4 linked regions of the Pelodiscus sinensis genome follow. The protein of the gene in region 4 interacts with the protein of the main gene of each other region in a biochemical or structural test. Links are inferred from orthologs where the notes say so. Each region holds a gene or a part of one and is shown on either strand. Other genes may lie near its edges.

What was found.
Region 1: the proteins of HSP90AA1 (region 4) and ST13 form a complex in vitro, tested with the Homo sapiens proteins (2 studies listed by BioGRID). The link is inferred for Pelodiscus sinensis from reciprocal best matches to the Homo sapiens genes HSP90AA1 and ST13.
Region 2: the proteins of HSP90AA1 (region 4) and PPP5C form a complex in vitro, tested with the Homo sapiens proteins (4 studies listed by BioGRID, with this or other methods). The link is inferred for Pelodiscus sinensis from reciprocal best matches to the Homo sapiens genes HSP90AA1 and PPP5C.
Region 3: the proteins of HSP90AA1 (region 4) and PPID form a complex in vitro, tested with the Homo sapiens proteins (2 studies listed by BioGRID). The link is inferred for Pelodiscus sinensis from reciprocal best matches to the Homo sapiens genes HSP90AA1 and PPID.

The regions. Positions count from the first base shown.
Region 1 is NC_134711.1:89,685,960-89,693,309, reverse strand, and holds the start of ST13 (hsc70-interacting protein), read right to left. Parts: upstream 3,012-7,350; 5' UTR 2,867-3,011; coding exon 2,757-2,866; intron 1-2,756. Other genes in the region: XPNPEP3 (xaa-Pro aminopeptidase 3), read left to right, coding at 3,439-3,499. UniProt on the Homo sapiens protein: One HIP oligomer binds the ATPase domains of at least two HSC70 molecules dependent on activation of the HSC70 ATPase by HSP40. Stabilizes the ADP state of HSC70 that has a high affinity for substrate protein.
Region 2 is NW_027465849.1:6,189,878-6,197,507, forward strand, and holds the start of PPP5C (serine/threonine-protein phosphatase 5), read right to left. Parts: upstream 3,014-7,630; 5' UTR 2,912-3,013; coding exon 2,791-2,911; intron 1-2,790. UniProt on the Homo sapiens protein: Serine/threonine-protein phosphatase that dephosphorylates a myriad of proteins involved in different signaling pathways including the kinases CSNK1E, ASK1/MAP3K5, PRKDC and RAF1, the nuclear receptors NR3C1, PPARG, ESR1 and ESR2, SMAD proteins and TAU/MAPT.
Region 3 is NC_134715.1:59,628,816-59,636,786, forward strand, and holds the start of PPID (peptidyl-prolyl cis-trans isomerase D), read right to left. Parts: upstream 3,006-7,971; 5' UTR 2,912-3,005; coding exon 2,845-2,911; intron 1-2,844. UniProt on the Homo sapiens protein: PPIase that catalyzes the cis-trans isomerization of proline imidic peptide bonds in oligopeptides and may therefore assist protein folding. Proposed to act as a co-chaperone in HSP90 complexes such as in unligated steroid receptors heterocomplexes.
Region 4 is NC_134714.1:22,309,900-22,317,229, forward strand, and holds the start of HSP90AA1 (heat shock protein HSP 90-alpha), read left to right. Parts: upstream 1-4,316; 5' UTR 4,317-4,476; intron 4,477-5,976; coding exon 5,977-6,135; intron 6,136-6,232; coding exon 6,233-6,599; intron 6,600-6,892; coding exon 6,893-7,026; intron 7,027-7,330. UniProt on the Homo sapiens protein: Molecular chaperone that promotes the maturation, structural maintenance and proper regulation of specific target proteins involved for instance in cell cycle control and signal transduction.

The sequences.
Region 1 (7,350 bases), on a different chromosome or scaffold from region 4:
GCCCTTTTTTCGAAAAAACTTAACCTGCGTCCACACTGCAATCGCGTCCTTTCAAAATTAAATCGAAAGAATGCAGGGGGTTTTTCAACATTGGTAAACCTGAAATTACAAGGAAGAACACCTTTTTTGAAAGAGCTCTTTCAAAAAAAGGCATGTGTGAAGGCAGAACAGGGACATTTTTCGAAAGAAGAGGCAAGTGAAAAAAAGCACAGGTGCCCCAAGAGAGCGTCCATGCAGTTTGGATGCCCTCTTCCGGCTTTGAGGTGTGGATGCTCTCTTTCGAAAGAAGCTTGCAATCTAGACATACCCTAGGTTTTGAATTGATTAACTCAAAGGTGACAACAAATACTGGGACAGAAACTTGTATTATTCAGACATCTGTAACTAATACCTCTAAACAAGTGCTAAATCAAAGCTGTTCAGAAGGATGAGTTTTAAGATCTGATGCTTCAAACCATCTCAACCTGAAATAAATTCAATATATCATATTATTGATGGTTTATGGAATTTATTTCTAGTCCTTGTGACTCAAAGTTCTGGACCCTAAAATACAGGTAAAATGTATGATACCTGAATTGATAGAAAAGCTGTACAACTACCAACACTTCAACACACTCTCAATACATAAACAGGGATTTGATATTCAACTCAAAAGATTCCTCTTCTCTCTCACACATGCAGTTGAAAGGCACATTCAACCTGAAATCATCAGATGGGAAAAATAATACAGGTTGAACCTCTCTAGACGAGCACTCCTGGGACTTAACCACTGCCGAACTATGGGAGGTCAATATTGCCTAACAGCATTACCAACACTTCCACTGCTTACTGGAAGACATTTAGGAGTAAATTGGAGCTGAACAATAGCACAGAACATTGAGAGCCAGGATTAGCGGCTGTAAACAAACTTTATTGGACCATGGAAAACTTAGCCACACCCATGATCAGTGGACATCCAGCTAACTAAAATCATGCCTGACCACAGCTGTTGCTGGACCACTGAGTGCCCGAGTAGAGAGGTTCAACCTGTAGTTTTAGGAACTGCATGTACCCGAAGCCTGTAAGTTTTTGTCTTGTGACATTGGCAGGGACTTCATTTTTTTCAATTCTTCTCTCCCATTTGAGACATCCAAATAGGGGAACTCTGTGAAAAGCTTTAAATTTTTCATTTTGTCAAGAATTCTTTCCTCCTCCTTTCTGATGAAAATATCAGGAAGGATCCATTTCTTTGTGTCCAAGTTTTTCTGGGGAAGAATGAACTATTGGAACTAAATGGATGCAATCCATGGACACTCGGCTTTCCTTACATTTCTTGTCTTCTGTTTCCAAATAATCAGTACTCACAAGAGATACTGTAGGTACTTTGTATTGTAAACTACCACCAGGGTGGGATTAAGAAAAGGGCTGCAGCTCCTAACACCCCATGTTCCTGGCCAGCCCTTCCTGGCAGGCTGGGAGGAGGTGGATTGGCATGCTGCCTCTCCCCCACACCTCCAGAAGCTCTATCTCATGCTGCCCATTGGCCAGGGATTGCAGTCAACCAGAGCTGCAGGAGGCAGTACCTTCAGGCTAGCCATCTGTCCCAACCACCCCAAACTAGAAATGTTAAAAAAAATTAGTTAAAAATGTAACTGTTAAAAATCCTAGCGGTTACATGTGCTGCAGACTGCAATAAAATGGGGCCACTAGCTTGGAGTAGGTGAACGTCAGGAACCCGTTTATAAGCAGGGTGATAGCCTGCTCCCTGGGTGTGGGGCTGGTAGCAAGTACACACTGGGAGCTGATTTGTTGCAGGCTCTAGTCTGAGTACAACTTTATACTGCAGAGCCTGCAGCGAGGGGTGACTGCTGGCTCCTGGGGAAGCCAGTGTATAACCATAACAGAAACAGATAAGCTGATGCTTATGGATACACCTTGTACATCCATACCCCAAACAGGAGCTGCCAAAGGTAAGTGCCCCCACTCTCCTATCCCCTGCCCCAGGCCTGAGCCCTCTTTCACACTCTAATTCCCAAACAGGCTCTGCAACCCAACCCAGACCTGAGCCTGCTCCAGCACTCTATCCCTCACCCAGTCCCCTGCAACCTCCTGTCCTGAGCCTGTTCCCCCACTCCAAACTCCTAGGCCCCAGCCTGAGGCCCTGCCCCCTAAATACCTCATCCCCAGTCTCACCTCAGAACCTACATACTTTCTTGGAGCCCTTGACCCCTCTGGCTCTCAACCTACAACCCCCTCCCATAAATCTGAACCCCTCATTTTTAGGCCCCACTCTGGACCCAAAAAGCAAAAATCTAATAGCCCTGCCCAAAGATTTAATCCAGCCCTGGCCACCACAAGACACTCCTGAGGACTGGAAAGTCTTATCACTTGGGCTTCCTGAGGCTGGCCTGGTTTGGGGGGGGGGAGGGGGGCAAGTAAAGTTCCAGCAGCAGGTGGTGGTTTGAAGGCATTTTAGCATGTGATCTATGGCGGATGCCCCTCGCTGCGAGTTACTTTCCGAAGTCGCTCTGAAGTAGCACCGCGGGCAGATGAGGAACAGGGGCAACTGCTGCAGCTACGCGGGTCATTCCACCGCCGGGTTCAGGCCCTGAACTGAGCGCCCCGAGCCTGGCGCTGCCTCCTCTGCTCGGGGCCGCACGCCGGGCTACGAAGCGCCCGATACTAGCTACCGCCGGAGGCGCGGACACAGCCAGGGCCGCGCCCCGCCCCACCGACACAGCGCCGCACCCCGCCCCAGGCACGCGGCGCGGACTCACCTCTCCAGCCACTCGCGCAGGAAGTGCAGCTCCTCGCTGTGCAGCACGCCCGGGTTCTGCTTGCAGAGCTTGACGAAGGCCCGCAGCTCGCTCACCTTGCGCGGATCCATGGCCGGCCGCGCCGCAACTTCCCAGCCCTCGCCCCCGAGTCCCGCGCCGCGCGCAGCTCCGCCTCCGCGCTCCCGCCCCCTGCCGACGCTGCGCTACTCCGCGCGCAAGGCCTGGCCGGGGCCTCCCGGCTCCGCCTCCAGGGTCCGCAACCCCTCGGCCCCGCCACTGCGCGGCTACCGGAACCTTCTAGAAGGGGATGCGTGACTGTCCGTTACGCGCCCCCCCCGCCCTCCGTTACGTCATCACTCGCGTCCTTTAGTCACTCCAGCCCCTGCTTGGCTGTGGCCGGGCAGTGTTCGGCTGAGGCGCCTCCCTTTGCAGAGCTGCGGCGATTGGCGCGGACAGCTAAGGCTGGGAGCACGCGGGGCAAGAGGCACTTGCGGATGACGTAGTTAGTCAGGGCCGTCTGCTCGGAAGGCCCCCGCAATGTGCGAGCGGGGGCGGGGAGTCTGCAGGTGGCTGGCAGCGCGGCCGCGGATGGCAGCTGCAGGGGCGCGGGGGATGCGGGGCGCTGGTTTCCCTAAGGACCACGGCACCCGGCAGTAGCGTGGTGTCTGCGCGGGGCGCAGCCATGCCAGGGCTCCCAGCTCAGAGGCTTATCCCGGCTGCGAAGGGCTTGTGCATCATTTCAGGTCAGAGACTTCAGTTCCTGTTAATGGCAAACCTCTCCCGGGGGCCTGGCCCGCTCTGCGGCGCGGTGACCCCCTCCTCGATATAGGGCCTGTGTCTTTCTGCAGCCGCCACCTCTTTGTCTCCATGCGTGCAAGGGCCCAGCGAGTGTTTGGCACCTCCTCTGCTTCTTTCATCATCCAGTTTAACTCCTTTGATTGTCACGAAAAGTGTAAAATAGACCCTTGTGGGGGAATCTAGCTGCAATTTACCTGTAAGGTTTTTGAGGCAGTGATCCTGTGTATTTGTGATGTTATGTAGAAAGAATTATCGGGAGGTGTACTGACACACATGTTCAAGATGCCATTAATGCTCGTGTTAATTCCCTTTTTTGACACGTGAGTCAAATATTTGCTTTTTATCTTTATTGATACATTTGATGTTACAAAGAATACATGGACAGCGCTTCTGCTTTCGAAGCTGAAAATTCCAAGGTTTGTAAAGCTAGGGTGTGCTCTGCAATGCAAAACAAAGTATTCCATGAATGCTTTTTAGAAATGTTTTATTGCTCATTTTAAAAGGTTAAAATCAATGTCAGTATTTAGAAATCCCACTCTGCAGTTTTTTTTAATAATTATACTGAAATTGTAGGCCTCAATCCTGTAAGACCTCTTTGAAGGATCAGGGCCTTATACAGCACATGCATAAAAGGTGTTAAAACACTAAACAAGCAAGCAATAAAAGGCTGCTGGCAGGGCAAAGAACCTTAAATTAATAAAACTAAAAGATTTTAAAAGTCAATTTTTGTGTCCACCCTTTATACTTTATGTACATTTAGGTCCAGATTCTCAGAAGTGTTTAGGAGCTGAACTCCCATAGATACCTTTGAGGATCTGGACAATTGTAATTAGCTTGGAGAATGAAAAGAGACAAGCTTTGCTTCCTGGTTCTCACACTTTCACTATGAAGCTGTATTTGTAATAGATATGTAGCCGTATTAGTCTGGTCTAGCTGAAACAAAAAACAGGACTATGCAGCACTTTAAAGACTAACAACATGATTTATTAGGTGATGAGCTTTCGTGGGCCAGACTCACTTCCTCAGATCAAATTGTGGAAGAAAATTGGCACGACCATATATACCAAAGGATACAACCAAAAAAAAAATGAACACATATGAAAAGGACAAATCAAATTTCAGAACAGAAGGGAGATGGGGGAGGGGGGGAAATGTCTGAGCTAATGATATTAGAGGTGATAATTGGGGAAGCTATCTTTGTAATGGAAGCTATCTTTGTAAGCTGTATTTGGTTTGCAAAGAATGAAGAAATAAGATCAATTAAGAAATCAAAAGCTTTTCTGTTAATTAACATGCACACGTTCTTTCTATGAATTTTATGCCCTCTAAAGTTATTGTACTAAACCTAGATTCTTGGGCCAAAATTAATCCGATGGTATATTTTAATTTAAGTCCCACAAGTCTCCATGAGATGTATAATAGCGACATTAAAATTTGTATAATTCGATAACCATGTAACTGCTGACAATTTCAGTGATTACACAGTTACACCTAGAGCAGGAGCCGATTTGCATGAGGAGCCAGATTTTAAGCCTGCTCCCCACACATATCGGCTCCTACCTGTTGTCCTGTGCTGCTGCCTCTATATTGTAAGCAGCAGCGTGGGATGGCAGGCAGCTTCCTGGGAGCCAGACGGTGAGCCATGTGTAGCTGTTTGGGTAACCGATAAGCATACTTTCTGGTTACTCATTGAAATGGCTACACTCTTACATCCCTAATGTATGCGTTATATTTGTTTTCCATGTGGATGGTGAGACAAGGAGATCAAACTACTTGTCATTGCTTACACAGTGAATCCAAGACATAGCTGTGAATATCACTCAGAAGCTTGGACTCCCAGATCTTAGCTCAAACTACTGAACAAAATCCTTCTAATTTAAAAACATAGCACTTGTGTTACTTTTATCCTACTGTCATTACTGATGACACTGAACCTTTAAAATGAGTGACCACTAGTAAAGGCTCCCTTTTAGCTCACTTGATAGATCTATTTCTCATGCATCCTACTGTGTGGTTCTATCTGAGGCTCAAGCCTGGTCTATACTTGAAAAATTAAGTCTGAAAAGTTATTGCAGTCAGACCTAACCCCAGGTGTAGACAGGGATAAGTTGATGAAAGAAAGATCTATGCTGAGGCTTGATCTAAACTGTATTGGCATTGCCATGTCAATCATAAGTATGAATAAACAACAAATTACGAAAAAGGGATTTTTGAAAATAAAACCCTTGTTCAAAAGATATTGTACTCCTCAAAAAATGAGGTTTACAGGATCTTTCGAAAAAGGGTTTATTTTCAAAAGATCCCCATCTAAACTGACAGGGTGTGTGTAGTTCCCCCCCCCCCCCCAAAAAAAGCCCCATTTCGAAAAAAGCGGCGGCCGCCATTATGCAAATGAAGCATGGGAAATTCAAATTCTGGCTTCATTTGCAATATCAACATGCCTAATTTACATCCCTTTATCGAAATAGGGATGTAGTCTAGAGCAGTGGTCTCCATCCTTTTTACACCTGAGATTGCTTTTTAAGTCTCAGAACATGCGAAGATCTACTGCCCTGCCCCTTCTTTGAAGCCGCGCCTACATTACATGAGGAAATCTAATGTAAATGTACTGCGCAGGTGCGCAGTTCAGAGAGGGCTCAAGAGCTACTCTTGGAGCCCCTGAGATCTACCAGTAGATCGCGATCTACTGGTTGGTGACCACGGGTCCAGAGCCACCCTTAGTCTGTAATGTAGACATAGACCAGGTCTATGTTATGAGGAGTATGGTAGACAATCTACAGTGAGAGAAGGGGTTAATCCATTGCTTTATGGACACACACACACACTCTTCCCAGAAGTGGTAGTTAGGTTGATGGAAGCATTCTTCAGCTACATCTACAGACTCAATTAGGTAAACTCAGATGCAATTAGGTGAACATAGGTATGGTGCTGGATGTGGATTTTTCAGGCCCTGAGTGCTGTAGTTTTGTGAACTTATATTTTAAGCATGGACTAGGCCATATTCTAAGGTTCATTTATAATGCTCTGAACAACATAAAAGGACCTTGTAATGGTGCACTGCTTGAGGGCAAGTCTACACTAGAAACTTACATCCACCTGTGTGATGTCAACTAACAACCACCAGTCATTACTGCAATGGATCGTGTCCACACTACCCTTCTCCTGTCAGTGGTGTGTATCCCCATGAGAAATGCTTCCTTTACGGCAGAGGGGCATCTGCTCTCCACATCCCCTCAGGTGCTCGGCTCACCACTTCCAGGATTTTGACTGCAACCGGAGTCCAGATGGCACTCAGGCTCTCTGCAGGAAGTCTCTGAGTAGGAGCCAGGAAGGGAGTTGGAAGCGGGGTGGGTGCAACCTGTCTGGGAGTGGAGTGTCTGGAGATAGCGGGTCTCTAACAGGGTGACAGCACAGCTTTCTTGTCAATTTGACTGCTCCATGGAGTCATACAATTGACCAGAATGACAGCCCACAGTCAGTGTAAGTAATCTGCAGTAGGGTTGTCAAAGTGTAGGCAGCTACGCGACACGGGGGTGGGGACAGATGGGAGCCGGTACACGCAGGGAGCTGGCTTTCAAGCTGGCTGTTGCATGTATCAGCTCCTGTGGAACTGACTGCCCCCCCACCCCCATATATTGCTGCCTCTCTATTATAGGCGGCAGCATGGGGGGGGAGGGGTGGCTTTTAAGCTGGCTCTCCATGCATGCCAGCTCTGTGGAGCTACCTGCCTCCCCCCTTGCTGCCTTCCATAGAGGCAGTGGAGGAGGAGGGAGAGGCAGAAGCCAGTTTTCAGGGG
Region 2 (7,630 bases), on a different chromosome or scaffold from region 4:
CAGAGGCAGCAGCGCAGGGAGGTGGGGGAGCTGGGTGTAACTGTGCATGTTAACCAAAGAGCACAGGCTCATCAGTTAACTGTGCACCTGGAACACTTTCACATTACCAGCGCTGACCACTGTGGAGAGATGGGAAGCCGGAACTATCTCCCACTGGGTCCGACTCAGTCTGGTATGTCCTGGTTCCCCTAGCGGGTGGCGATGCCAAGTTTTATGTACATTCCAGGACAGGAAGTGCAGATTTCTTCACAATCCTCCCTCCTGCTTCAGTGGGATTATATCTAAAGGTAAAAGCGGTGCCTGAGGGTTGGGCCCTGGCTTCCAGGCTTTCCAAGATGGGCTGCCTGCAGAGTGAAGGGTTAAAGTGAAAAGAAATGACTGACAAAGAGCAAGGAAGAAAGGAGGCTCTCTCCTGCTGGAAAGCTTTCAAAGTTGGGCTCTCAAGATGGGATCTTTTTACCAGAAACTCCCATGGACACAAGACACTCAGGCCTAAGGACAAGAGGCCTTAAAGAGCTCACACACAGGGCCGCTTCCAAGAAGGCCATGTCGGCTTTTGGACTGTACCGTACAGCAGGTGTCTCTTAAGGCAACTCCCGGAGGGCAGGGCACAGACAGTCGCTAGAGAAATCACTTGTCTGCACATCCCTCCCAGGAGAGGCCAGGCCACTCCCAAAGCCTTCAGAGCCTATGGGAACCAGTACCCTATTTGCAACACGCATCCGCAAGGCCTTCCTTCTCCTGCCAGTAGCTTGCTCCACTGATTTATTTCATCTCATTCGCTATTATCCAGCCCTGCGGGAATATGTCCTCTGTTGCATCAGACAGTACATCCCTCACCTCAGGACTTGTTTCCACATGAAAGTTACTTTAGAATTAGGTAGGGTGTAAATTTAAAGCAGAGCAGCCATCCAGGAATAACTCCATAGGTGCGCCCACTATTCCTAGAACAAGAGGGCCTTGCTGCGGCTTGGCCTAAGCCCGTTCCAAAAGGGATCAAACTGCTCTGGAAAAAGGCACTCTCTTTTCAGAATAAGCACTTATCTCCACAAGAACTTCAGAATAAGGGAGGATGTGGATTTAAAACAGAACAGCGAATCCAGAATAACAATGTGTGAATGATTTTAATCTGGAATAAGGATCTGTCTAGACAAAAATGTTGCATTGGTTAAAGTTACACCAATGTAGTTAAACCCATGCACACTGCTGTGTGGACACTTGACCTAAGAGGGCCTTGCTTCTGGTTAATTTAATCTGATTCGTAACCAATCTAAGAACAGCTGAAATGACCCTGGCTTGAATGGAAATAAGAGTTCATGCATGAGGTTTGCACTGGTTTTGGTTTTGTTTTAAACTGATTCCACTATACAGCTATTCCAGAATAGCGCCCTGTGTAGAAAACCAATCCCTCTGACAGACCAACATCTCCTCTAACACTAACCCATCAACAGCTCACTATGCTGACCTTGTTCCTCCATCCCCCCTCCACACCCACACATCCTGAGGCCCTTTCCTAGCTTGGCCCCTTTATTCTGATTTACTAGCCCAATGATGAGTATTATCAAAACTGAATCACTTCAAATGTACCAGCACTGTTAGAGCAGCACAACCCCATTTACAAAAAAAAAAAATCACTTCCTGAGTCACAATAATGGTAACAGTAAAACGTTCAAGTGCAGAGCAGGCCTCCGTGATTACAAGAGAGAACTTGGCACTGGAACTCCTGGGTTCTACTCTCTACTTTGCTACAGACTGCCTAGGTGACCCTGAATAAGTCACTTCCCTCACCCTAGGGCGATGTAGCAGCTAATTAACAAATCTGCAAACGACTTGGATATCCTGAATAAAGAGCAACAGAAGGGGAAAGCATTTGCTCTTAAGCCATAATGCCCTTCCTGTTGCCCCACTTCCCTCGCAAACGGAGTTCCAAAGGGGCCAAGTCTCCACTGCTTGCATGAGGCCTCTGTCCTGAGCGCAACAATCAATAGCGAGGATGAAAATCTTGAGCTCTTCGCTAGTGCTTTTCATCAGGAGCTCTCAGAACACTGTACTAGGCAGGTCAATATCATTAACCCCATTTTACAGATAGGGAAACTGGGGCACAGAGCAGGAAAATTTCCTGTCTATGGTCACCCCACAGGCCAGTGGCACAGCCAGGAACAAAAACCAGGCGTCAGTCCCCAGCTCTAATGACTACACCCTACAATCAACCCCCCAGGTTTAAATCAAGATGGGATGGGTTTCAAAGAGATCTGCCCTAGGAATTATTTGGGGGTGGTTCCCTGTCCTGTGCAATACGCGGGGTCAGGATACTTGTTCCCAGGGGTCCCTTCTGGCCTTGGACCCCATGACTAGAGCACACACTGTTCTAACCACTAGGCCAGGCTGCCTCTGACTACCTACCATCTTCTCTGCTTGCCCCCACAGGGTTCATTCTCTGGTAGCCCTTCCCAGCTGGCAGGATCCTCGCCCAGTCATCCCTGCCACATAGTCTCTGGGTCTCCATCTAGGGGTCCCTTCCCTGACTCCCCCCTCCAATGGCTCCCCATGTGGCAGCCCCTCCCCCCACAACTCCCCATGTGGCAGCCCCTCCCCCCACCGCTTCCCGCCCATGGCTCCTATGTGGCAGCCCCTCCCCCCCATGGCTCCCTATCTGGCAGCCCCTCCCCCCACCGCTTCCCGCCCATGGCTCCCTATGTGGCAGCCCCTCCCCCCCATAGCTCCCTATCTGGCAGCCCCTCCCCCCACCGCTTCCCGCCCATGGCTCCCTATGTGGCAGCCCCCCGCTACCTTTGAAGTACTCGTTGGCCTGGCACTTGAGGGTCTCCGCCCGCTCCGGCGCCCCTGCCTCCCCCTCCCGGGGGGTCCGCCCGGGGCCTCCGCTCTGCTCCGCCCGCTCTCCCTCCGCCATCGCCGGGCCGTAAAGCGACCCTAGCAACCGCGCGCGCCCAACCGCCCCGGCGCCGAGCGCTGCCGCAAACGCCAAGGGGGAGGGGAGGGGCTCGCGGGGAAGGTCGCAAACGCTCCCCCGCGCGCGCGCGCACTGAGGAGGAGGCGGGGCCCGGGGCCCAGCCATAGAGAGGCTGGGAAGCGCGACTCTGCACCATAGAGTCCCGGGAAGGGAGGCTAGAGTGGCCATGCCCCCCCCCGGCTCCATTGGGCGGTGCCACGTTGGAGGCGATTAGCTGTCCCTTGGGCTGGGGGGCGGGGCATGACTGGGTAGTGGCAAAGGGAGGCGCGTGATTGGACGACAGCAGGGTGGGGCATGATTGGGTGGCACCCCAGGGAGATGTGATTGGGTGGCACCAGGGGGAGGAGGTGTGATTGGGTGGCACCTGGGGGAGGAGGTGTGATTGGGTGGCACCAGGGGGAGGAGGTGTGATTGGGTGGCACCCCAGGGAGGAGGTGTGATTGGGTGGCACCTGGGGGAGGAGGTGTGATTGGGTGGCACCCCAGGGAGGAGGTGTGATTGGGTGGCACCTGGGAGAGGAGGTGTGATTGAGTGGCACCCCAGGGAGGAGGTGTGATTGGGTGGCACCAGGGGGAGGAGGTGTGATTGGGTGGCACCGCAGGGAGGAGGTGTGATTGGGTGGCACCTGGAGGAGGAGGTGTGATTGGGTGGCACCGCAGGGAGGAGGTGTGATTGGGTGGCACCAGGGGGAGGAGGTGTGATTGGGTGGCACCGCAGGGAGGTGTGATTGGGTGGCACCAGGGGGAGGAGGTGTGATTGGGTTGGCACCCCAGGGAGGAGGTGTGATTGGGTGGCACCAGGGGGAGGAGGTGTGATTGGGAGGCACCCCAGGGAGGAGGTGTGATTGGGTGGCACCTGGGTGGGGGCACGATTGGACAGTATCAAGCTGGGGGGTGGTGATTGGGTAGCACTAGGGGACTAGATCAGAACCTGTGGCAGGTTGGTTATGATTGGGCAGCAGCAAGAGACTATCCCTGAGCCAACATGGGGGGCCCAGTCTTCCAGAGTCCCATCCTGGGGTGCGTGGCCGTGGGGTCACAGGACCTCAGCAGGGGCAGAGAGGTACGGCCCCATCCCAAAGCTCCTGGCTTTGAGGAGTGCCGTGGGCTCTGAACTGAGGCAGGACGGGGGATGTGGTTGTCATTCCCCACATCAGACCCCCAGCTTTGGGGAGAACATGTGGTTTAGCTGAGCACTGCAAGCCCCGCTCTGAGGCATGGGATGGCTCCCCCACAGCATCTAATCTGGAAGAAGAATATCATCCCTGCCTCTTATCTAGTGCTTGTCACAGGTACAGCTTAAAGCACTTTGCAGAGATCAAATATCCTTATTTTACCGATGGGGAAACTGAGGCTCAGAGTGAGGAAGTGACTCGCCCTGGGTCACCTTGGAGTCAGGAACAGAACCCAGGCGCCCTGAGTGGTCTCAGTCCAGTGCTGTACATACTAGGCCACGGTGCTAGATTTTGCTGGAGCTGTCCCCATGGCAGGAGGAGGCCATCTGACTGCAGACGGTTGGCTTTTTCCAGCATGTGATCATCTAGACGAGGCATGTCCAAAGTCCGGCCTGCGGGCCAATTGCGGCCCGTGTTCCGGTTTAATACGGCCCCCCAGGTAATTTGGCAATATCTATCTTTTATGGCCCCCAATGAATCCATATGTATTGAGATGAATACATTGTAAAATCTCAGTTAATGTCAGTTGGTCTAAATCAGTTATAAATACATTTGGACACAACATGTATACTTGGTGTTATGTTCCTGTTCATATTTTTTGAACTTAAAAGTTGACAGACAACCTTTATTACCAATAATATGTCATGTACTTTACAATGTTCCTGACATATCTTTCAGCTTCCTGGATTTTTTTTTTTCATCTGGCCTTCAGATATGAAAGGCAGAGTGATTTAACACCTGTTTAGATTTGTCATCCATGTGACGAAATGAAAAGTATGCCGTTTGCAATAAACTTTGCATAAAATAGTTAATTTGCATTTAATTTTAATGGTTCAAAGAATGTCAGGCAAAATGGTCGGCCCTCACGCATGTTCACTTCATCAAATCTGGCCCTCTTTGAAAAAAGTTTGGACACCTCTGATCTAGACCCTCTACAAGGGCAGCCTGCAATCGCTCCCTGGGTCAAACCTGCATCTTGACCCATCTCTCCAGGAAAGGGCCACAGCTTGGGTCATTCGTCTAGGGCAGCGATTCCCAACTGTGGGTCGGGACCACAAAGTGGGTCATGACCCCATATCAATGGGGTCACGAGGCCTGGCCCGAGCCCCACAGCCCTCGGCCAAAGCTGAAGTCCAAAGCCCCCTGCCCAGGGCCAGAGCTCCAGGCCGTTAGCTCTGGGTGGTGGGGCTCAGCTTAGAGGCCTCCCACCAGGGCTGACGCTCTTGGACTTTGACTGCTCCTCCCGTGGCTTCGACTTTGGCCACCCTGCACAGGCAGGCAGACTCAGCCTTCAGTCCCACCTCCGGGGATCCTGTCGTAATTTTCATGGTTGGGGATCATGGTACAATGAAGTTTGAGCCCCCCGGCCCAGGGAATTGAGATCCCAGAGCTGGTAAATGGCCAGATTTATGCTGGGAGAGAGAGACGGGGGCTGCACAGTCAGTGCCCAAATGGCAGGAGCGTAGCCACGGGTGGGCCTGAGTGGGCTGTGGCCCACGCACTTTGCACCCAGGCCCACCCCCCGCAACCCTCCACAGCTCTCCCCACCCTGCGTTCCAGCCAGGGAGCAGGAGGGAGCGCGAGTTCTGCTGTATCTGGTGCTCCAGCCAGGGCCCCTCACTTGTAAAAGTGCCGTGGCTGCCTGTGAGAGCCACGAGGGGGAGCGAGGAGGGGGAGAGGAGCGTGTGTGGTGGGGGAAATGTCAGGGAAGAAGCAGGTTGGAGGCAGGGCCTTGGGCAATGCGAGGCCAGGACCCTGGAGAAGGGGTGGCATGAGGACAGGACCCTCCAAGAATGGTGCAAGGCTGGGGCCCTGCCCAACGAGAGGAGGTGGGGCCTCAGGAGGAGGGGCCGTGGCTCTTTTAGGAAGCATCTGCTGCTCCTGGTACAGCTGGGTCACTGCATCACTTGAGTATAGATGGAAGTCTAGGTGCTGCAGGAAGCCAGCTAGGACCCAGCAGGGGGCACTCTTCTCTCACTCTCCCACTGCTGTGGGGGGGGGGGAGGTTGTGCCATGGGTGATGCAGCAGGGGGCGCCCTTCACTCTGTTTAGTAGCCAGACTTTGCTGGTCCCCGCAGATGCAGATGTACCTCTAGGTACAGGATGAACAGATGCGGGGACTGTACCCCCCTCGTGAAGTGCTCTGATGCCCCCTACTGGTCGAGAGGTAGGTGAGCTAGCCCAGCACCTGGGGAGTGGCAGGTTCAAGCCCAGTGATTTTCTGGGTCCCAGAAGGGCTGATTCCAAGCACCTTGCATCACCCATGGCTTGTACTCCAGCAAGCAGGGATAAAACCCCAGCCAGGCTAAGGAGGGAGCAGGCAGTGCCCCGTTCCTCACCAGGCCTGGCTCCAAAGGATGCTGGAGTCTGCCCTGGCCGGAGGGGTGAGCTTGGCCGGCCCTTTACTGCGCCTCCCCTCAGTGCCCCCTATGGGCACCACCTCCCTCACCCCTGGATCCAACTGCCTGGGTAGCTCCAGCCAGCTGGGCCGTGCACGGCAGCAGCAGGGCCTGGGGCTGGCCTGGAAGTGGCCCGAGAGCCCATGACAAGCCTGGCGGCTCTGTCTTAAGGGGCCCCTGCCCCCTTAGGAGAAGCAGGGTTTTGCCGCTGCCTGCCGTGCCCGGGGGTGCATACGCTCAGCCGGCAGCTGTGATTATCGGAGCGGGCGATGGGGGGGGTTCACCCAACAACCTCACCCCTTTCTCCACATGCTGGCAATGCAGCCTCCCACCCTCCTTACAAGAGGCAGGCAAGATGCACACAAGGCATTTAGCAGGTGTTGAGGGAAACTGAGGCACAGAAAAGGGGGTGAGCTGCAGGTCATAGAGCACGGCCGTGGCAGAGCTCCTAGAGCCTCAGTTCTGGTCCCTCACCTCACTCCCTCCCCTTCCAGCCTGGTTGGGAATAAACACCTGGCATCCACACTCCTCTTACCCCCACTTCTGAGGGGTTCTTCGTCCAGACTGGGCCTTCGGTCAGAACATGCGTGAGTTAGAACACAGAGGGGCAGGGAGCCAGGACTCCTGGGTCCGATCCCTGGCTCTGGGGTCTAGTGGTTAGAGCCAGAGGGTACGTCTACACAGCAGCATTATTTTGGAATAACAAAATGCGCATCTACACTACAAGCCTTTATTTCACCGTACCGTCAAACGGGAGGATTTCTTACCCCGACTCCTGTCACTCTCATTTCACGAGGGGCAAGGGGAGGGGGAGGAAGAGTGGTTTCCCTCTTCCACTTCCTGCTGTGCAGGCAGCACCAAAAGCCAAGTGAAGCTCTTTCGACTTCAGCTACGCAATCAACACAGCCAAAGTTGCGCAGCTTATTCCGACTTTAGCCCTGCTGCGTAGATGTGCCCAGAGAAACGAGCCACTTCCAGGTGCCAGTTCGCCCCCGGCTGATTTTGTAAGAGCGCCAATCCAGCCCTCCACCCGTAGGCACCGAGAGCTCCCCTTTCCTGTGGTCCCCCCCCAGGCCCTGCAGCCAA
Region 3 (7,971 bases), on a different chromosome or scaffold from region 4:
ACCCAATGTCCTGCCCCCTTCTACAACCCAGTCCCCTGTCCCTTCCTGCAGCCTACCTTCTGCACCCTAACTCCCACCCAGACCCTGCACTCCCAGTCAACTCTAGGGATGTTAAATTGTGATCAATCAGCTAATCAAGTAATCATTGGAATTTCCATCAACCACTCAAATAGTTGGGGGAGGGGGGCATTCGCTACCCCAGCTGCAGCTCTTACTATGTTTAAAAGGCAGAGCTGCAGCATCCCAGAGCGGGCGCAAACCGGAACTGTCCCAGGAACTGACCCTGCTGTGTCTCTGCCTTTTAAATGTAGGAAGAACCTCCCAACTGCTGCAGCTCTTCCTTTTAAATTAGTAAGAACCTGGCACGTCTCTGCCTCCCGCAATGCAAAGATGGTGATAGAGGGAAACTGGATTTTAAGCCAGCTCCCCCTAGCAACAGCTCCTGCTTCCCCCCCAACTTACTGCCTCTGATATAGAAGCAGCAAAGGAGGGTGGGGGAGAATGTGAATGTTCAACTCGACTATTCAACTACTTTTACATCCCTAGTCCACTCCTGAACCATAACTCAGACCCTGACTCCTGCTCAGACTCCACAACCCCACCTTGCTCCCTGGCAGCCCATGTCCCACATACCAGATAGGAATGTGAATAGGGTGATGTTTACTGGTTATGGGTATCCAGCAGGATCTGAGGCAGCCCCTCACCTGCCATGGGTGAGGGGATGCTCCCCCACCAGGACTGGAGTGCATTCATGCCCCGCAGCAGTAGCCCCTGCCCACAGCAGGCCCAGCATGCCTGGACAGAGCAGCCCCCTACAATGGCTCCAGCCTGGTTAACTGATTAAACAGGATACTGCATCCCTAATATTGAACCCCTCATTTTTGGCCTGACCCCAGAGCCTGACCTAAATGAATGGTACAGTGTTTGCAGGTAAGTGAATGTTAACACCAGTGAATATGGCAAGCTGGTAGGTTTTGCCACTTGAAAAGAGTAAACAGCATGGATCTTAGACAGACAGCATGCAACTGAACAGTCGTGTAACCTCATCAAATTTTAATGGTTACACGACTATTCGATAGTACCAGAGACAGCAGCAGCCAATATGCTCCCGGCCCCACTCCTAGGGAGCTCCCTGAAACTGAGTGGCAGGTGGGAGCCAGTTTGCAAGAGGAACTAGTTTAAAAAAAAACGGTTCCCTGTGCAGATCGGCTCTCACCTGCTGCCGCTGTCCGCAGGGGCCCGAGCATCCCACAAAGCAGCCTCTATCCACCGAGGTTCCGCAGAGCCAGCACACACAGAGAACTGGCTTAAAAGCCATCTCCCCTTGCATATTGGCTCCTGCCTGCACAACCCTTCGTCCCCCTGCACTGCTGCCTCTGATAGAAGGGTAGCAGCATGGAGAGGAATGGAGAGGGCAGACGGCTCCATGGGAGTCAAAGTGTGTGTTCCCTACATGTACCAGCTCTCGCCTGCTTCCTCTCACCCTCCACACTGCTGACTCTCTATCAGAGTTGGCAGTACGGAGTGGAGGTGAAGGTGGCTCTATGGGATCCAGTGCTTATGGGGAGCTGGCTCACAGGCACCGGCTCCTGCCTTCCACCTTGCAGGGGGGAGGGTGCATATTGTCAACAGGATTAACCAATAAGCCCAGGCATATCGGTCAATTGTCTAGTCATCTACATGTTGACATCTCTTGTAAAAAGATCACTGTATTCCTCTCAATGCTGCAGCACGCATGGGTTTGGGAAAGTTTAGGACTAGCTGCATGAAGTATCACATCAGCCAAGCACAGTAAAGAAAAAGTAGTCTGTGATCATGGCTGGTGAGCTGCTGGATTAGATGTGGCTGACACAGAGATGTACACAACCTAAGTGCCAGCTGGCCGCCTGCATTGCCCAGGCTCCATCTATACTAGAGTTAGGCGGACATAACTACAGGCTTGCTCCCACCAATTAAAGTGCCCTACTCCACTGACTAGTAACTCCTCCCTCACAGGAGACATAGGGCTTATGTCCCTGCTGTTAGAGTAACACACAAATTTGGCTGTGTCTACACTGGCGGGTTGATGCGCCAGAGATATGCAAATGAGCCTAAGCGTGGAATATCGTGGAGCCTCATTTGCATACCTAATGAGCCGCCATTTTTGCAGAAGTGGCTCTTGCACTAGAATCAGAGCTGTCTACACCGCCCCTTCTTGCAGTGTAGACACAGCAAAGTGTGTAGAGACGCTGTATTCCTTATAGTAGCGGTCTCTGGGAAACCTGAAACTGACAAGAAATCTGGCACCGGGCCCTTCCACTCCTAGGTAGGTGAGAAGCTCCGAGGGGCAGCTGAGAACACCAGCCCCTCCGCTTTTCAGGGAATGGGAGCGCTCCGGTGAGGGTGCGCAACAGAAGGCCAGGAGGAAGCTGATATAAGCCACCAGCCGCCACCGTGATTGCTGCAGTGGCTGTAAATCACCCTAGGTTGGCTACTCAGCACTGCAGTGCAGGCAGGCGCCAGGGAGGGAGCCACCAGCAGCTGAAGGTGTTGAGGCCTCACGGCTGTCCCGGGAGCAGCCCCTGGGCAGCGCGCGCAGGCCCTGGCAGAGGGATGGGCGAGCAGCGCTCATGGCCCGCACGGGGCGGGGCAGGCTGCCCCCTGACCGCCACAAATCCCCTTTGTTGCGCCGGAGCCGCCGCCAGGCTCCGAGAAGCAGCCGCCTGGCCCAAGGCGCGGCCGCAAGAGGCTGCAAACGCAGCGCAGCCGGGGTGCCCGGGCCCCGCAAGCACGAGCCGCGGGCCCCTCCCCGCTACCCTGCCCGGGGCCAACGTTCCTTCCGCGGGCTCTCGCGCCCGCACCCACCTCGTTCGCCCCCGATGTCCACATCGAAGAAGACCCGGGGGCTGGCGGCCGAGGCCGGGTGCGCCATGCTGCGGCTCCTCCCCCGGCCACGCGCGCTGCCTTCACTTACGTTCCGCCGGGTCGGAGAAGAGCTCCGCCCGCTGCCTCCGGGGCAGCACTAAGCGTTGTGGCCCTCCCACTGCCGCTGCCTAGGCGCTAGCTAGCGTGGGGAACCGGGCGAGCATGCACGTGCAACTGCACCCGGGCCTTCCCATTGCGGCTCTCCACGGACACCCAATAGAAGCGGCTGCTTTTAGTCCCCTAGGTTAGGGGTATAGTGGGGAGGGGGAGGAAAGGACTGGAGCAACTTGTATAGTGAGGGTGCTTGAGAGCCACTAAACCCAACTCTAAATTTGCATATATAAGAAAAACCACTTCAAGCCAGGGGGTGCTTGCAGGCTGCAGCAACCCCTGCATCCCTAATTCCAGCACTTACGCACGATGGGACACCAAATAGTGTACTGCCCTGAACTAAGGTGTGCTATGCCCATGGTTTCTGACCTCTGACTTGGGAGATGTGGGAACCCCATCCCATGTAAATGTGCTTCATTTCCTCTGCTGATAGAAGAATTTGTATTTTGTGGATTGGCTCACAGAATCGCTGTTTGAGATTTCCTCATTGCCCCCACCCACATTCTCAAAGCTATTTAGGCTTTGAGGATCTGGGCCTTTGTGCTTGTCTGAGGAGACCGCCAGTCCTTGGGATTCTCTGCTAGTCTGGAGCTTTGCATCTTGGGGCCCCCAGGTCACAAAGTAATCAAATGTAAAGAAAACATTGTTCCCCTAACAAATATTAATATCACCTTAAAGACTAACAAAACATGTAGATGGTATCTACAGCCGGTCCCTGAGTTGTGAACGGTCGAGTTACGACTGTTCGCATTTATGAGCAAAACTCCCATGGAGCGGTTGTAAAGGCGGTCCCTGAGTTACGAACGAGACCCGTGCTTATGAACAGCGCGGTTGCTATGTAACTTAATGGGGTCCAAGTTATGAACAAACTGAGTTACGGCCAAGTGTTTGGTCTGTAACTCGTTTGTAACTCGGGGGGGGGGGGAGGCTGTACATGTTTTGTTAGTCTTTAAGATGCTACTAGTCTATTTGTTGTTTTTTAAGTTTTTCCTGTTGCAGACTAACTTAGCTACCCCTCTGAATATTAATATCATTAATGGAAACATGCTGCTGCAATTGTGTCATGCCTAAAAGGCGGGGGATGGGAGGCTTATAAAAAAAACCAAATGTAAGTATCCACATTAACAGGACAAAAAGTGGTTGGGGTACATTAGCAATTCATGGCTATATTGCTCCTCTCCTGGAAGTGGCACTGGAGTTGGAGACAACTTGTTAGCCCTTTTTGAAAGTTTCAGAGGGGCAGCCCTGTTAGTTTGTAATATAAAAAAAAATAAAAAAACAATGAATAGTCTTGCAGTACCTTAAAGACTAACAAAAAACGTAGATGGTATAATGAGTTTTCATGGGCACAACATCTGAAGAAGTGTGAAAGTTCTTTTGATCCTGTCTCCTGCTTTGGGCAATGTTGGTTGACTTAAATTTTTACACTGCACATTTCTAGTAAGCAATATACAGGAATCTGGGTGATTGTATTCTGAAGTACTTAACTTTTTTTTTTACTGTTTCCAAATTAAAATCAACAGGATAAAATATTGTTTTGTGCTGCACCATTTAACACTTTCTTTGGAAATCTACACAATGGCAATATTTTGAGCTCTAAAACAAAACAAAACCCAAGCCCAACATCAAAATGCTCAAGGGAAAAATCATTTTTGCTATGTTATGAATCACCAGTTTTAAAATCATGGATCAGGGCTCAGGGAACATCTTTTCATTATAAAACAAGATGGTAGTGATACTGATTGATTGGGAAATAATTTTGAGGACCTGTGTAGCCAGACACAAAAACCCCATCTTGTTTTTCCACGAGCCCCATCTTGTTTCCCCCCTCCTCCCCCCAGAGAGCAAGAGAAAGGCAGTCAGCCTTTGATGCCCTGGGAACACAGGTTTGCTGCCTGTCCCTGACTCTACCATAAACAGAAACCAGACAGTAAATGGGCCAGCTGACGACCCGGGGCCTCCCGTCGCCCTGATGGCTAGTACCAGTAATTGACACGTCTGCACTGTCCCAGGAGAGGAATCTTCGCCCATCACATACCAGAGGTGCCCATTGTCTGCATTTTCCCAGGTGTAAATTATGCTTTGCACCCTTCGTGGGAAACTTGGCATTCAAAGCCATTTTTCCTAATTGGCCACTTGAAACCAGGAAGAAGCCTACATGACCCAAGGGGTATAAAAAGAGGTTCAGCCGCCCACCCCATTTGAGCTCCAATCATCTATACCTGCTGGCAGGTATTGATTGTCTCCCGAGGTCTGTGGGACGCCCAACCTCGCCCTACTTCTTCCCGAGGGATTGAGAGAAAGACGCTGGCCACGCCAAGTCTGGAACTCAGGGGTAAGAATATATACCTGCTATATGTCTATTTTGCATGCATTTAATAAGAGCTCAGAGAACCAAAGGGTTTCATGGTACCTGTAAGTGACTTATTAGTGTAATTTCTGTCCTGTCCTTTGTAGTGTCTGTGTTATCTGTAACACAGTAGTAGCATTTAACAGCTAAGTTTACCCTGTAACAATAAAATAGTAACTGTTTAAGCTTTAACCTGACTCCTTCAGTTGCTGTAACAGAACCAAGCACAATTTAAAAGAACTTCAGCCGGTCATGAGGGACTCACTGCCCTGACCGTCGGCTGACAACCTGTTGTGCAAATTTCTTCTTAATTCTCTTCCAGCAGGGTTTCCCAACCTATGGGTTGGGACCCAAATATGGGCTTCCATTACATTTCAAAAGGGTCACCAAGTGTCTCCTCAGGAGGCTCTGCCTCCTCTCCTCCCCGTTTTTGAATTTCCTTGGGTCACCAAGTCTTCCTGAATTGTCAAAATGAGTCCCCATCTGGAAAAAGTTGGGAACCATTAGACATACCTGTTCTAGTGAAATCCCTTAAAGTGTTAATGGTTGGACAGATGGCTATACAGATTTCAAATGTCCAGAGAGCATTTTCCCTACTAATTAGTTTCACCTGTCTATGTGTTGTCTGGTTTGAGGTGCATCAAGCAGATCTCATCTCCTAATATGTGCTAGTTACTGACCTAGTGTAGGGAAGGTTCCACAATCAAAAGACAAAACAAAGTAAAGCTGTCTGTCACTGGGTCATGATTTTTTTTTAGTATCTTTTATTGAAAAAGTTTATTAGTATTGAGGCTGGCAAGGATTTTACAGCTGGGAGACAAAAAATCATCCACCACTATCTGGGAATAATCAGAAAGGAGTGAGTGGTTCTAAGACAATTCCATCTATCTCTAAACCAAATCATGCAGTTATGTTAGTAATTTCACATGTGCAGCAATGTCAAAGGTCACCAAAATTTTGAGTAATCAGATATCTGGTATCTGTTCATTGGCCTAAGGAGATCTCTGACCACTACAATTAACATTGTTTCTGTGTCATGACATGGCCTGAAACCTTACAGTAGGTGTCCAGGTGGGTGAAGCTGAACCTATGTGAGGATGCTAAGTCCTTATCATTTATCTTTCCCAGAAGTTATGTCATTTGGCCAGTAGTTGGCCAGGATGCTTCTGTGCAGAACAGGTATTTTCAACCGTGGTCTGGCTAAAGTTTTCCTCCGAGCTGCTGACACCTTTTCCTCTGGAAGAATCATTAACAGTCTTCCTGGAGACCATTGAGGCAACCCCTTAGTTTCACTATCTGGGAGATGAAGTGGGTGTAGTTTGCATGTGATCAGTACTATATTATAACATTATTATCTACTATATATTTGAGGGAGTTTGTGTTTTCAAGGACTCTTTCTAAACGCTAAGCGCTAGGACCACCAAGTTTTGGTATACAGCTTCCTCTTATCATAACCTAAAGCAAGGTAAGTATATGGTTGTGCCAGGAAAACGGGATGTGGCTAGAATGGGATTTCCTCTTATAAAACCATACAGAAAAGAAACAGACTCACCAAGCAGGTGAAAGGGGTTAGCTAGGGGCACCCCCGTCCAGGACTGTTCCGTCCCCAAGACTTCCACTCCTTGGGTGCCCTTTACACATGGTGAGGGGTGATGGCTGAAGCTCTCTCCTACCCCGGATTTGTCCAGGAACATTGTTGGCTGTTTCCTTATGTCAGGGAGCCAGGGGAAAGTGCACATTGTTGCTGTATTTCTCACTCTGGCTGGGGGTAGGGACTCAAGATGTGATGTACCAGGCCGGGTCTGGGCACAGCTGATGGTGTCCACTCAGGGTGAATTGCTCACACTCGGGGCTCCTCACAGCCCCAGACTGGAGACCTTCCCAAATAGGCCACAAACCAGTCACACAGTGCTTCAGCTTCCAATCTGGCCAGCCAGAAGCCTCATGAGCAAAACCCCTCTGACACTCCAGCGCTCCCTGTGCCCCAATCAGCCCCGGGCTTAGCACACAGGTGAGGGGTTATAGAACCCAATCTCACCTTCCCCAAATGGGTTCCTCCGGTCCCAAGAAACCAGCCACAGATGCCAGTTAATTTACACTCTGGATCTTACCCACAAGATCACGCTGAGCCAATCCTTTAGAATCTAAAATTTAAATGTTTATTACTAAAAGAAAGAAAAGCATGAGAGTACGGTTGTTAAAGGAGAATACGTTACATGCATCAAATCACCCAGTTCTCAATACAGGCTCTTAGCAGAGATGTTATAAACTGCTATCTTAAAAGTCTCTGGTGTACATGAGTCCACGGTTCTTCCTGGCTCGTTGTTCCCTGCAAGGCTGCATCTGGGATCAGGAGCTGAACTCAAGACAAGATGGAGGGTGCCACATGGAACTTATATACCTCTCCTGGCATCTTCCTGGCCAGAACAGGTCACTGCAGGTCACATGGTCCATTGACCGATCCTTGTGTCTTAAGCTAGCAATCATTATTCTGGCTGTCAGCAGGCATCCAGATTCATTCCCCAGGTGTGTCTTTGGCATTTAGAGATCTATTGTCCCTGGAGCCTCGCTAATTAGCATAGCCATTGAACAAACATTCCTGACAC
Region 4 (7,330 bases):
CAGCACTTTACAGTTAAACTACTATCAAAGCATAAACCTTTGCTCAGTCATGCAGTGGTGAAAGTAAATTAAAAATCTTCCCAGGACAGGAGCCGCATGGAGCTTTGGGAGAAGGGCAGGACTCCGGACCAGCATCTGCCAGCCTCCCCTTTAGCACTGCACAGTGCGTATCACTTGGGGCTTTGGCAGTAATTTAAAGGGCCCAGGATAGGGTCCGGCAGTACTGCCATGACAGCACTTTATTGTCAACGATGTATGGGCAAGTACTGGCAGCCACTTCTTACCGGTATGCTATATCAGCCTGTACTGGGTACCGGCCCATTTTCGTCTCTGCAAACCGGTATCCTTAACAGGGTCTGCACTTCTTTAGGCCACCACTAGGTTTTATATCCATAGCAGAAGGTGCTAAAAAATCCAGCTTCACATTTCAACTCTTCCTCATTATGTCAGCTCTCTGGGATCTATTTTTGTGAACAATTTCAGATGCTAAAATTCTATTTCCCTTCCGTACCTCACACCTGAAACACTCAAATAACATTATGATGGCCATGATACAAGAATGCAAATAGATTTACATTCCTAAAAAATTCTGTAAAAGAACAGGAAGGATACAAAGTCAATTACTCAGAAGTTAGAAAATGCTATAATTAAATTTCCATGCAGTCTTAGTTTTACCTCCTTGTGTTTATGTATTATGAAAGTCTTGCTCAGGAATGCACAGAAATCCTGTGGCAGAGATAGGAATAGAAACCCATTCACTGAATTTTAATCAAGTGTCTTGAATACAAGACATTAATCTTTCTTTTCCTGCAATCTTCTGTTCTACCATCCTCCTAATGGATTGACTGAGGCATGGAGTCTTTCAGCCCAAGTAGTATGTGAACATGTAATTAAAGACTGTATCACAGCAGACAACTATGAGTCTCAAAAAATAAAGCTCCATCTGTGCAGATGCAATTACAGCATCAGGATCTATACCATCAAATTCAATGCACATTTGACCTACTACTGTATGGTGTCTTATGAGGTGGCTTCTGATTAGAGGTGGGCAGAAGCCAAGAACAAAGGAATGACCATTCTGTGTCAGACAAATGGTTCATCTAGCCTAGTATACTGTCTTCTGATAGAGGCCAATGCCAGAAGCTTCAGAGAGAATGAATAAAACAGGGTAATTATCACGATTCTCCAGTCCCAGCATCTGGTAGTCAGAGGCATACCTATAGCATGGTATGTCATAGTCAGAGCATGACGTCCATAACATTTGGATTAGAGTTGAATTTTCAAAAAGCTGAGGTTGTTCGTGTCTACAGGTATGGACTATTATAAGAGCAAGATAAAAGGTTGATGTTCCTCAGGTTAAGGACTGTGCTTTTTTGGCACTTCTCCTTCCAACAATGAAAAATCACCAAATCAGCAACAAGTCTGACATTAGACCTGTTGTTTTATTTGTTCTCCAATGATAGGTAATTAGTCCAATGTAATAATATCAGTTTCCTTAACTCATGTTTGGAACTACAGTGATAACAAATAAACATTTAAAAATTGCATATTGTTATAATAGGAAAAGTACATTTTCAGTCTTTTTGTTTTCAAACACACCTGACTATTTTTGCTCAATTGTCTTTCCACCTCTCACCCCCCACTTGCAAATATCAGATTTTGAAACAAATAAAGCTTCTGACATTTCAGCACTGGAAAATAATGAAAAAGAGATTTATATGTAGCTTAACCACTATAGTTGTTACTATAGTCACATAATACAACAAAAAGAGTACAGCATCTAAGCATGATTCATAAATAAAATATTAGCTTTACACTTGCACAGGCTGGCATGTGGATAGGACTTAAGCAGAGAGGGAGATGCTGAATTGAGCAGTTTAAGTTTGGTATGTGAACACTTTCCTCCAAGTGGATTTTTCTAAGAATTCTGAAAAAAATCCATCTAAGATGGATTTTATATTGCCTGCCATTTTGAAAGCTAGAAATAAATGTAGCCATTAAATATAGGCAAAATGCTAGTGACTATGATCTTTGAAAAATGCTGAACATAAATCAAGATTTCTTAAAAAAAAATCCTGGAAAATATGGTTTTTAAAATAGAAAATAATATGGTTTTTAAAATAGAAAACTAAGAAAATAATATGGCTATTGGCATAGACCAGTGGTGCGCAACCCGTGGGTCGTGACCCCCAAAGAGGTCACAGATATCTTTCCGGGGGGGGGGGTCACAGTGTTTAGATCCGTTGGCAGCCACACGGTGTGGTGCTTAGTTCCAGCTGGCTGGGCGCAGCGCGGCACTTAGATCCAGCCAGCCGGTGGCTGGGCCCAGCAGTTAGTAGCCCCCATGGTGCAGTGCCTAGATCTGGCTGGCCGGGGGCTGGACCCAGCAGTTGGTAGCCCCCGCAGCTTGGGGATTGCAGATCAAAAAAGGCTGCACATCACTGACATGCACACTACAAACTAAGGCCCTGATCTTGCAAAGACAAAAGCACTCTCCTCCTTATAACTGCCAATTTGCGTAAAAATTAAGTGTATACATAAATCTTTGCAGGATCAGGGCCCAGGGTAGATCTGGGTACAGAAACCCCAGTAGTGGATACGTAATCTGGGGGAGATGAGCCAGGGAAGTGCAACTTCTGCAGCCCTACTCGCTGTACTATTTTCTGTCTGTTTCTTTGGGCTCAATTCTGAAAGGTTCTGAAAGCCCACAATCATCACTGAGATCAAGGGATCACACAAAAACTCAGGCCTTTAGGTCTAATACTCCAGTCATTTCTGCGTATGTGGATCATACTGCAAAATCAGGATATTAAGACTTGGAGATAGAGCAGCTGGCAAATTTGTTTAAATATTTTTTCTAATAAAAAATCTGCTTTTTTCAAAAGTGACAAAAGGTATCCATTTTAAGTGAAATTTCATTTTGGAAAAAATATCAGAATGAAGGGGCTATAATATGTTCACATGAAATTCACTGATTTATATCTAAAACATTTTGAAAGGTCAAAATAAGAGCTAAATGTTTTAATTCTAAGTGGAACATTTTGGTCATCTCAAAATGTTTTCTTTTGGGGAGGATTTCAATTTTTAAAAATTTCAGTTTCTGATTTTGTTTCGTTTGGGCTCAAAATTTGCTGAACTAGACTATTAAACCCTTTACTTTAAATGCAAGGTCTGTTCTCTCTGCATGGCAGTCAAGTCCTAAATTTAGTGAAGGAAGCGCAACAAGAGGGGGGGGGAGGTAGCAGCTAGGCAGAGAAGCACCAGTGAAGCCCAATGCAGTAGACAGGCAAGAGCTAGTATGTGGTGAGATTAGGGAGTGCCCCCCACATCTTTCAGTACAAAGTGACATGTGAGGGGGCTGCCCCAGGAACTTTCAGTGCAGCATGGCATGTTGTGGGTGACCCAAAGCCACCCAGTCGTGTATGCGGATCACCTCAGGGCTGCAGTGACGAACCCAGGCCGCAGTACCATGCAGTATAGTGTGGGGAGGCACCCTAGAGTCACGCAAGAGCCTGAGGGGATGTCTCAGGCTAATGCACTGAGGCGTGGCATGGGGAAGATGCGCCCCAGATCTGTACACTGCAGCGGGGCACGATGGCGCCCCAAGGCCGTGCATGTAAGGTGGCATGGGGGGAGAGGCACCCCGGACCACGCATGAAACGCGGAACGGGGGGAGAGGCGCCCTAGAGCCATGCAGCATGATAGGAAGGGGGGGGGGGGGGGTCGCGCAGTGAAGCATGGAAGGGAGCACGCGACGGGGCTCCCCGGGGCCACGCACCGAAACGCAGAGACCCTGAAGGGAAACGCAGCTGGAGGCGGGGTAGCGCCCCCCAGCTCTCACACGAGGTGCGGGAGGCAGAGAGAAGCGCGTCGCTTCTGGCTGCTTCTAGGACCTTCTGCGGGAAGCAGGGTGAGGGCGGGAGGCAGAGCCCGAGAGGCGGGACTTACAGAGGCTGATGGATTCCGCCTCCTTCTAGGATGTTCGGAGGGGAGGAGATCGGCTCCGGCTTGCAATGAATGAAGTCACCTTGCAGCGTGCGCACTAGCTCTCCCCGCCCTTTCCGAAGCCAACCGGTGACAGTTGACCTCGCGCAAGCGCATTTCCCATCCCCGTCTTCAGAGGCGACAATTGGAAATGGAGCGCGCGTGCGAGCCGGGCTCCGCATGACGCATGCGCAGTCGCCTCAGCGAGGCGCCAGACGAAAAACGCATGCGCAATCCGAGAACGGTTCGCCCAGCGCACGCGCATTTTGATCGCAGCAACCGCCCCCCTCCGTCAGCCCCTCCCCCAGTGATGAAGGTTGGAGTTACCCACCCCCGTGCCTGTCAGTGAAGGTTCCCGATGGTTCTGGAAGGAGGCGGCGCCGGGAGTATATAAGCCGGGCGGGGGGCGGCGAGCCGCCAGTTCCGTTACTGCGGAAAGAGGAGGACGCTTAACTTAGAGGAGCAGGAGCCCCAAGAACACTCACCGCCAAGGTGAGGCGCGAGGAGCGGTGGCTGGAAGATCGACCCCAGGATGGTTTTTTCCTCAACGGGCTCGTTCTCTAGCTGAGCCTGGAACCGTGGCTTAGATTGATGGCGGAGCCTTTCCGCGCCGTGTGGTGGAGCAGGCTGCCCTGCTTGCGGGGGTGGGCAGTGCGGGGGGGCGATGTGAGGGGCGCAGCCCACAGTGCCTGGCGCACAGCGGTGCTGGGCGTTAAGGGGCGTTCGTGGCCCTTAGGTGGCTGCTGAGGAGGAAGAGTAGGTGGGAGCGGGGAGACGCAGTATGTAGGGGGCCCGCCCCCTTGGGTACCCGCCTGGCTCACATGCAGGGGGGGGATGATGGAGACCGGCAGCAGGAGGAGGGGTCTATTGGGAAGAGGGCTTGTCGCGCGGCACGGGGGGGGCACCGGCTTGGGGAGGGGAGGGTCCGCTGGGCGCGGGACTTGCGCTTGCGGCTGGGGGGGGAGGTGGAGGTGGAACGAGGGGGAGGAGAGGAAGGCTCTCGCAGTTTCTAGAATCTGTTCCAGGTCTGGATCTGTAGGGGGCGCTGTGCTCCCATGTTTGTCAGTGCCCACTCTCCCATGCCTGTGGTGTCTAGCCTGCCTGAACTGCTGTAGAAAGTACCCTTGGGGATCTGGACTGACCCAATTCTCGGTGGCTATCTGTAGTGCAGTGCATTTTACTAGTTACTGCAATGGAAAAGTAGCTAGTGAGGTCTCCCTTCAGTTGGATTTGATTTAAATGCTGCAGTGCAAGTTTAAACAGTCATGGCACTGGGCTCCCCTGACTGGCAAAACCAGTTTTTCCTGCATGACCAATAGATTGTTACCTCTGATGTATAGATACCTAGCAAGAGATGGCACTCTTCTCTGTTAAAAGAACCTGTGTTGTTACAAGCTGAAAGTGTATGAGCTATAATGTTCTGTGGTCTTTAGGAGAAAGCTCCCAGTAGGACTGAGTATTCAGCCAAAACAAAAAAATTGACTATTTGACACTAACCAGATTATCCAGGTATGTCTTGCAAGTCACATTCTAGATCCAAATGTTGTATAAAGTGAAACTTAATTTTTGAAAGTTAGATTCTGTAATGTTAACTTACTGTATTCAGCACTTAGTATTGTTCTTGCAATTCTGTATGCTCTGAGTTTTAAAGATGCATGGTAGGCAATTGGACAAATTACTGCCACATTAAACCTTCGTCCTCTTGAGGAGCTGAGACTTGTACTTATCTGTCACTGACAGGCCTTCCTAGACAAGGGTTATAAATGAGCTGGACTGCCCTTTGCTGCCAGCAGGAAGAGCATACCAGTTAGGTTTGTCTTTCTTAGTTGAATATTTAAAATGCTATATGCTGTCCACGACCCTTTCCCAAAGTGGTGGTGCTTGTTAACAGCAGTTTAGGTGGTTGAACATAAAACGGAGCAAACATTAGTATTCTTCACCTAAGAGCCATTCTTAAGAGCTTAAAGTTATAACTTCATTTTAATTCTACAGATGCCAGAAGCTGTGCAGACTCAAGACCAGCCAATGGAGGAGGAGGTGGAGACCTTTGCCTTCCAGGCTGAAATAGCTCAGTTGATGTCTCTGATCATCAACACTTTCTATTCCAACAAGGAGATTTTCCTGAGGGAGCTGATTTCTAATTCATCAGATGTAAGTAAGAAAAATGTCACATGCAATCAGTGACATTATTACCTTTAAATACAGGTAGTGTGGTGAGGGGTCTGATAGTTGTATTCTTGTTTTGTAGGCTCTGGACAAAATCAGATATGAGAGTTTAACTGATCCAAGCAAACTAGATTCGGGAAAAGATCTGAAAATTAACCTTCTTCCCAACAAGCATGATCGCACCCTGACCATTGTGGATACTGGCATAGGGATGACCAAAGCAGACTTGGTTAACAACCTGGGTACTATTGCCAAATCTGGCACCAAAGCTTTCATGGAAGCATTGCAAGCAGGTGCAGATATTTCTATGATTGGTCAGTTTGGTGTTGGCTTCTACTCTGCCTACCTGGTTGCTGAAAAAGTAACAGTGATCACCAAGCACAATGATGATGAGCAGTATGCTTGGGAATCTTCTGCTGGAGGATCATTTACTGTCAGACTTGATAATGGTAAGTGCTAACTTGGTGTTGTAGAGGTAGTTCTAAAGTAGTCCTTTATAGTATAAGGAAATCCATGAATAGAAGGCTCTTCAAGGTGCTACAGCTGTAGCATATAGTATCTTGTAATACTAGAATGACAGTTAAAATAACTGCTTCTCAAGGGTGATATATCTTAATCTGCAGCAAAATTAATTAAGCTGTAAGCCAGTTACAATAGTACCATAGCAGTAGTCTTCTGTTTGTCTTAAACATCTTTCCAAACATTTACTGGTGCTTACTGTAAAACTCAAACCTTATTCTAGGGGAACCTCTTGGCCGTGGTACGAAAGTTATTCTGCATCTTAAGGAGGACCAGACTGAGTACCTGGAAGAAAGACGAATCAAGGAAATTGTGAAGAAGCATTCTCAGTTTATTGGCTATCCAATTACACTCTTTGTAAGTGTTCAGCTTGGAAAGCTAACACAATTTTAACTGGTGGTAAAGAATGTTAAGTGAGTACAAGGTTTAGCCATAATAACTTACAAAAATGATTCTGGAGTCAGATGGACCAGATATAAGTATATTAATGACTCTTAATGTGTAGTATAGACATTTGTCTACAAATCCTAAATAAGAATCTTCTCTCCCCTGTCCCTCCACCACACGCACTTGCTGTTGGACTCCTGCCAAACAGCAGTGCTTTCAGACCTGATTCTCTTGACAGCCACAGAATAGGGTGTAAAATGTGTAACCTAAACAT